Nothobranchius furzeri: one gene and its partner. The protein of the gene in region 1 purifies or fractionates together with the protein of each later gene. This does not show direct contact. Links are inferred from orthologs where the notes say so. Each region holds a gene or a part of one and is shown on either strand. Other genes may lie near its edges.

The links.
Region 2: the proteins of solute carrier family 12 member 6 (region 1) and stk39 purify together in Homo sapiens (affinity purification with mass spectrometry; 3 studies listed by BioGRID and IntAct, with this or other methods). This does not show direct contact. The link is inferred for Nothobranchius furzeri from reciprocal best matches to the Homo sapiens genes SLC12A6 and STK39.

What each region holds. Positions count from the first base shown.
Region 1 is NC_091742.1:80,351,681-80,355,501, reverse strand, and holds part of solute carrier family 12 member 6, read right to left. Parts: intron 2,704-3,821; coding exon 2,575-2,703; intron 1,523-2,574; coding exon 1,376-1,522; intron 1,294-1,375; coding exon 1,239-1,293; intron 1-1,238.
Region 2 is NC_091754.1:20,095,282-20,099,102, forward strand, and holds part of stk39 (STE20/SPS1-related proline-alanine-rich protein kinase), read right to left. Parts: intron 2,054-3,821; coding exon 1,931-2,053; intron 1,406-1,930; coding exon 1,376-1,405; intron 1,100-1,375; coding exon 1,043-1,099; intron 1-1,042. UniProt on the Homo sapiens protein: Effector serine/threonine-protein kinase component of the WNK-SPAK/OSR1 kinase cascade, which is involved in various processes, such as ion transport, response to hypertonic stress and blood pressure.

The DNA of each region.
Region 1 (3,821 bases):
ATTTTAACATGTACTGAAATTTAAATGTAATAGGGTAAAACCCAGTGCATTTAACATAATGCTGCACTTTAGAAAATGGGTTGAAATATAACATGTTGGTGGAGCTGGGTTCCGACTATCGGCTTGTGGAGCTCTCGGGAGACCGATGTTTTCCACCCATTCTCCCCTCCCCGCAGCTCGGCGCATCTCTGTCTGATCGCGGCTTCTGTTTGATGCGCGGGTTGCCGACTTGTGGAGCTCTGGGATGGAAACCTTTCCATCCGGTTCTCCCCAGCGGCAGCTCTGCGCATCCCAGATCGCAGAGGCGCTTGTCTGCTGTGCGGCTGCCGGCTTGTGGAGGTCTCGGAGACCTCTGTGTTCCACCCGGTTTTACCCAGCGGTCAGCCCGGCGTATCTCTGACTCAGAAGCTCTGGTGTTGTGCACAGTTAACTCCGGTTGTAGCTAGGTTGCTACCTCCATTAGCTTAGCTCCCACCTCCGCGTTAGCTTTGGGTTAGCTTCAGGTTAGCTTGTAGCTAGTTCGACCGGGTGTCGTCATTTGATCCCAGCCTTACAGCCCCACCCTCAGCTCCACCTCTCTTCCCTTTTGTGGAATTGTCTGGGCTTGACGGAACCTGTGACACGGTCAAAATGGCGGTGGTGGCCACCTCCCATTTAGCCTCAAAAACGTGTTATTGGAGCTATGGAAACCCATTGTCCAATATTTATATGTCTATGGCCACACTACATATAGGTAGTATGATCGATGTTGAATCCACACACAAACAGTAAGTACCACCTTAAAATGAAATGTCGAGAAAGCATGAAAAACACAGGCTGGTCATGTGACAAACGGAAAGCATGGAGATGAAGGTCCAAACAGGACATGTTAGATGTTGGATTTTCTACATGTCAAGATGCTGAAGGAGAAAGAAGTGAATAAAAACACACTACTTTGGTATTCGCTGCATCCTTCTAGATGCATTTCAGTGAAAGTTAAGGTCAATGGCAGATAAATACTCTAGGTTTGTAATGTATGGACAGACAAGGGACAGAGACAGAGACACGAGCAGAGGGAGGGACAGGACAGGCAGATGTTACACGAGTACAGTGGCTACAGTAAGTTAACGGGACATTTTATGAGAATAAACTGGCTATGTGGGTGTCCTCTGAATGGCTTTTTGCTGAACCTGAGACCAGACCAAAGGTGAGTCACGAGCACCAAGAGACAATGTAAATATGTAAAGGTGAAGCAATACCTGGCACGACTCCGTTAGTGGCGATTGCACTCATTGAAATAGCGGTCAGCATCGTCTAAAGAAGACAAACAGTCACTTAAACACACAAAGGGAGGGTTGATCTTGTCTGTTTTCAGTCGAAGGACACAGAAACTCACACAACAGCAGCACATGAAGACGATACAAAGAGCCTGCAGCACCCCGGCGGTTCCAACTACCCATGTTAGACGCAGGAACAAGATGACTCCAAAGATGTTCTGCAGGCAAGGCAGGTAGACGCCCATGAACGTCCCCATCTGTGGAGACTGGGACACATCAATGGGACTAGTTAGTTATGCAAACTCTAACAGCAGGGCCCCACACTGTTTAGCTAACTGCTACATGTTAAAGTGTAAACCCAAACCCAAGAGTCACGGTTTCGGCTGTGAGTCTCTTAGTAATGTCCACTAAAGTCTTTTGGTTGACATTTGATAAGATGCTTTTCTGCACAAACCTGGGTTACTCAAGATGATTTGTTTCACAAGGAGCCAAAGCACAAACCCTGACATCATCTGTGAACATTTGTTTAAATCTTACTGGAAAATCCTCCCATGATGCCGACGCTCACACTGAACACTGTAGAACCAGAAGGCAGGGTTAAAGATGTGTTGGTTCAACATTTCTCCTGCTTCAGAGTCAGAGCCGAGTGAACACGAGGAATTCTTGTGAAGCACCAAAACAAACTTATCGTGGCTGAAGGCCTTTTATCAGGGAGCACATCAGTGCAGATCAGGTTCAAATCCCAACGCACTTTGAGTCTTAGATATGATTCTGGACAGGAACTCATCGACTGGTGTGGTCCCTCACAAAAGGAGATTCCTCCACTATGAGCTGCCAGTGCAAGGTCAGCTTCTTCATTGTTATTAAAAATAAACAAAAACAGGTCAAGTCTAAACACATTTTCCACAGCCAGGACACACGTTAACGTGTCTTTCAGTAAATGCTGGGAGTTCCTGTGTTGTTAGTTGATGAAATTATTTTGTCAAAATGTATTTTTGTGGTCGTTTATGAAATCTCATCAAACTTCATTCCAGCTTTCTCAGAAGGTCTGACCTTTACGGTAGTTGTAGAACAAAGCACGTGGGACGCTCAATTAAGTCAATAATTATCTATCTGGGAGAAACCAGTCAAGTTGAGGTTTTGTTTTATTGTTTAAGCATTTGACCTGGACAGACATGAGGACTTGTGTTTGTAATGGAGACTAGGAAAGGTTTGCTTGTAGCAGGAGGAGTCACCTTCAATCAGGGACTTCCTGTCAGAGTGATAATGTTCCAATAATGTTAGCTTAAAGACAAATACTGCTAATACGTCTGCACACCTTGAAGGTTTTCTTCTTGTCACTGATGCTCTCAGCCTCCTCGTGCTCCTTGGCCCCCTGCATCAGGTTGGTGTAGTTAACCAGGCGGCTGAGAAGAGACGACACTTTGGGCCGCGTGTCCATCTCCTCCTATTGGTCAGAAACAAGCAGGGGAGGCAATGGTAAAGACGGTGGCCTTGGCATCGAGAAAGAAGGGAACAGCAGATGAAGAGAGGGTAAAAAGGAAAGGAGAGGAGACCCGAGGGAAGGAGGGTGTGAAAGAGAAAAGGTGAAGAAGCAGGAACCTGAGCCAACAAACACAGAGGTATAGAAAAGGATCACCCCAAGACTTTAATTTTTTTGCTTTACAACCTTAAAAAGGAAACAAACAAAAACACATTTTACCAACGTTACTTACTTAATGCACCCAACAGCATTCATTGAAGAATATCTGTTACAGTTTGGAATAGAATAATCTTTATTAATCCCACTTTAGGGAAATGTTCTTGCTACAGCAGCACATACACTTAAAGAAAAGGAAGAAGAAAATAAGATTACAGGTAAATACAGGAAAGAAGAGTTTAAAAAACAAGAAATGCTGAGATGAATAAAGGATCAGCCACCCTAACAACACATTTCACTCACTCAGAGAATGTAACCACCATTTCCTTAGCTACGGGTTACTGGCCTGGGATCAGTTGTAGCACAGAAACAGCTGTTCCTGTGGCAGACCACTATCACAAGGTCTCAGGGACAGGGTTGTGGACAGACACGAGGCAGGAAACAGATACAAAAGCATCTCAAAGGCTCTACCAATACCAAGGAGCTCAGTAAAGTCTAGAATAAACAAGTGTCGTTGTTTAATACTAGGACCCTCCTTCCAAAGAACACAGCTAAACAGACCACTCAGTGGTTGGAGGAGACAAAAGTGAAGGTCCCCGCGTGTCCCAGTCAGAGCCCAGACCCGAATCCCACCGAATATCTGTGGAGAGATCTGAAGATTACAGTCACCAACACTTACCATCCAATCTGACCCAACCTGAACAGCTCTGTAAAGAAGAGTGAGCGAATATGGCTCAACCTAGACGTGTATAGAGAAGAATCTGCTGCTATTAAAGATATTGGCCAGAGGCAAAATTCCTTTGAATGGCATGTGTAAAGAAGTATTAAAACCTCAGGTGAAAAAGGTTTTTGGATTTTCATGGCTGGAATTTAAAGAAAATCTGACGTTTTTTACCGGCGCGGGAAAAACAGAAACTAACTTTCGG
Region 2 (3,821 bases), on another chromosome or scaffold:
ACCCCTTGGCAGATTCTTTTACTCAAAACAAAAACATTTCTACCATATTTATGAATATTTACCGCATTAGTGCTGTTTTTGAAGATAATATTTTTAGACAAAACATAAGATAAAATGTCTAAAAACAAGGCTTTTTTAGGGATGTCCGATCCATTCAAGTGTAAAATCAGAAATTATCAGTATGAGTTTTACTCTTTAACTTTTACATACCATGCACGGGTTATACATCTCTTTAGAGTTACAACTCTTTAGCTAGTTCTCCTCTCAAAATGACATATATGACAGATCCAAGGTATTAGCTTGAGATATTTTTCTTTGGCTCAACTTGCGTAACTTTAATTGAGATAGTATTTTGCAACTTTAGTTACCTAAAACAATTTTTTTTCCTTTTTTTTCTTACCCGCATATATCGGGTATCTATTTAAAAAAAAAGCCTATTTCGTAAATCCCAACTGTTTTTACTTTCTTGAAAATCACTTTTTGCAGTGTACTATTTTTAATCAGGCAATAAGAGATAAAACTGACACAAAGTATACACTGGAAAAAAATTAACAAATAGTCCAAATAAAGGAAACTAAACTCTATGTTGCATGTTTGCCTGAAAATGAAACAGCTGTGGAGGAAGTGGAGAGGGGAAATGAAAACTACATAAAATAAAGTGGTGCGAGAGACTTAACACTGATATTAAGTTTTAAATGACCAATTGGTTTTATGGATGTTACGGAAGAAAAATGGCTGCAAAATAGTTATCAGAGTTATTTCTAAGAGACCTCGCCTCAAACTCTCTTTAAACTGACAATAAACGCAGAAAATGATTTACAATGGTAGTAAGTCTTCAGATGAGATACACCTATCTACTGAGCTGGCACTGTCAGAATGACAGCTATTTACTGAGTTATTACTGCTGAAAGCATCCATCCTGAAAACAGACATTCTCACTCACACACACACACACACACGCACGCACGCACACGCACGCACACACGATCATCAAGGTCACTGAAGCATGACAAATTAGTGCAGCTACTGCAGATTCCCTCACCTGGGGATGCTGAACAGACAAGCCTTCTGTAGGGACATTGTTGGCATCTTCCTCATTCTAGGAGGAACAAAATCAGAGGGCATAGTTGTGCAAATGCCTGCTAAATATCAAACCAGAGCACATTTTATGAAGACAAAATGCAGTTTAACCAACATTAACGGACTCTGATAGTCTATTTTTCTTTTCTTACTTGGAAATCACAGAACTTGGAGGTTTAAAATTAGGATACAAACATTTTTCTAAATGTTAGTAGGATTACTAAATGAAGCAAAGTGTTTTCAAATTGTTAATTCATATAAATATAACGAGTACAAGGATGAAAAACTAACTTACATTTTTGGCCTCATATTTGAGCCTTCGGGACTAAACAGAGGGGAAAAAAGAACATTTTCACATAATCATGCAAACAAATATTAAAATCTATTTTAAAACATTCCTACAGAAAAGAAACAAACTGCTCATAATTTTAATATTTGCAGTGTTTTTTAATGTTTGTTCGCTCAATACTTTTTTTTCTTTTTATGATACAAAACTGTCTGAAAGTAACAGGATTACCATAAACAGAAGGAAATGATCATGATATTCCTTCAGCAGTGTCTTTCTTTTTTAAACCATTGTGAGATATTATTAATTACATCATCCATTAAAGTTGAGTCTTTATCAAAAGGCTCTTTGATCAAAGCAATCTTCTTCCTCCTGTCTAAAATCCGTACAGCAATCTTCCAGCTCACTATAGTGACCTCATGGCAGACTTTCTCAGCCATCTGCTATAAAACTAACTGACCAAGGAGGGCAGAAATGAACGAGGGTGGTGCAGAACAGTTTGATCTGTTGGGTTAGGTGTGACATGCACAGCTTTAATAACTTTATGGATTTTGTTGTGCTCACCCTGCCCTGATTCACCGCCGCCTTCCCCTCCTCGCTGCCTTCATCGAGCTCGTCGTCGCTCCACTCCCAGTCTCCATCCTCCGTCTTGTGCAGGTGGCCACTGGAGCCTGGAACTCTCCTCACCTTGAGCAACACAACACAAATTCAGCCCGTTTAAAATTGCATTTGTTGCTTTTAGATAGAGCGTGAATGAACAATATTCTTTACTTAACAGGTCTTTAAATATTACCACCCGTAGATGCACAAGGTTGTATTCCTCATCCCAAAAAACTTGAAATTGTCCATAAACGTGAAAAGAACTAAGATGAAATGACCTGCAAATTGTTAAAAAGTTGTTTATGTTTAAGACTAATATGACGGGCTGATATTTGTCAATATTTGCAGAGCTGATTTACAAACAGGCACATTAGCAGGCAGCCCGTGTTGCTGCTAAATTTTATTTAAAGGTGCAGTAATAGTTCTTGAAAAAAGCTGTTTGACCAAGCTTTAAAAATTTTTTTTTCAAAAGGTCCAACCCCTTTCTTAAGGTTCCCTGCTAGCGTCACAGTAGCCGATTTTAGAAAACAATGCCGTAAATTTGCCGCATTACCGTGGCGGCGTCAGGGAGCTTTAAGTCATTTATAGGCGATCAGACCATGTCGATGGGTCAGACACAAGCCCCCACAATGCAGGTCAAAAATTGAGGCAAACGCGGAAGTGAAATAAATTGCAGCTCCACCCTCATTCGCTGGGGGCTGGTGTCAGAGGCGAGCAAATCCTCATTGACTCCCATGTTAAAAATACCTATTTCATAGCAGAAATAAACATGTTTACAGCCTGGTACCAAAACATGTTTTAGGTTTAAATGATCTAGTTTACACTCATGACAACTCTGAGGGGGGAGAATTTTTTTCAAACTCTTCTGTTTAAGTGTATTAAAAGCCTAAAATTCTGTATAATTAATGAGCATCAGACCCACGTGACCACCACATCAGACCCACGTGACCACAGAGCTAGCTCCGTAGAAAGGCCTCAGCCTGAAAACTGGTCAGTCATTTTCAGTCTCTCAACTTAGACCCTTAGTTGTGCCATTTGTGTATTCTTTTTTGGATATTATTTGTGCAATTGTTGGACAAAATGACTTGCTGTGGCATTAATTGCACTAATAGAGCGTCCAAGGAGTCTCCACTTCATTTTTTTCGGTAAGTAAAATTATATTTATGTATTTTAGGTCACTGCCGAGCTGAGCTTAGATTTTAACATGTACTGTTTAACCATGAAATTTAAATGTAACAGGGTAAAACCCAGTACATTTAACATAATGCTGCACTTTACAAAATGGGTTGAAATATAACATGTTGGTGGAGCTGGGTTCCGACTATCGGCTTGTGGAGCTCTCGGGAGACCTCTGTTTTCCACCCGTTTCTCCCCTCCCCACAGCTCGGCGCATCTCTGATCGCCGCGGCTTCTGTCTGCTGCGCGGGCTGCCGGCTTGTGGAGCTCTCGAATGGAAACCGATGTTTTCCACCCGGTTCTCCCCAGCGGCAGCTCTGCGCATCTCAGATCGCAGCGGCGCTTGTCTGCTGTGCGGCTGCCGGCTTGTGGAGCTCTCGGAGACCTCTGTGTTCCACCCGGTTTTACCCAGCGGTCAGCCCGGCGTATCTCTGACTCAGAAGTTCAGGTGTTGTGCACAGTTAACTCCGGTTGAAGCTAGGTTGCTACCTCCGTTAGCTTAGCTCCCACCTCCGCGTTAGCTTTGGGTTAGCTTCAGGTTAGCTTGTAGCTAGTTCGACCGGGTGTCGTCAGTTGATCCCAGCCTTACAGCCCCACCCTCAGCTCCTCCTCTCTTCCCTTTTGTGGAATTGTCTGGGCTTGACGGAACCTGTGACACGGTCAAAATGGCGGTGGTGGC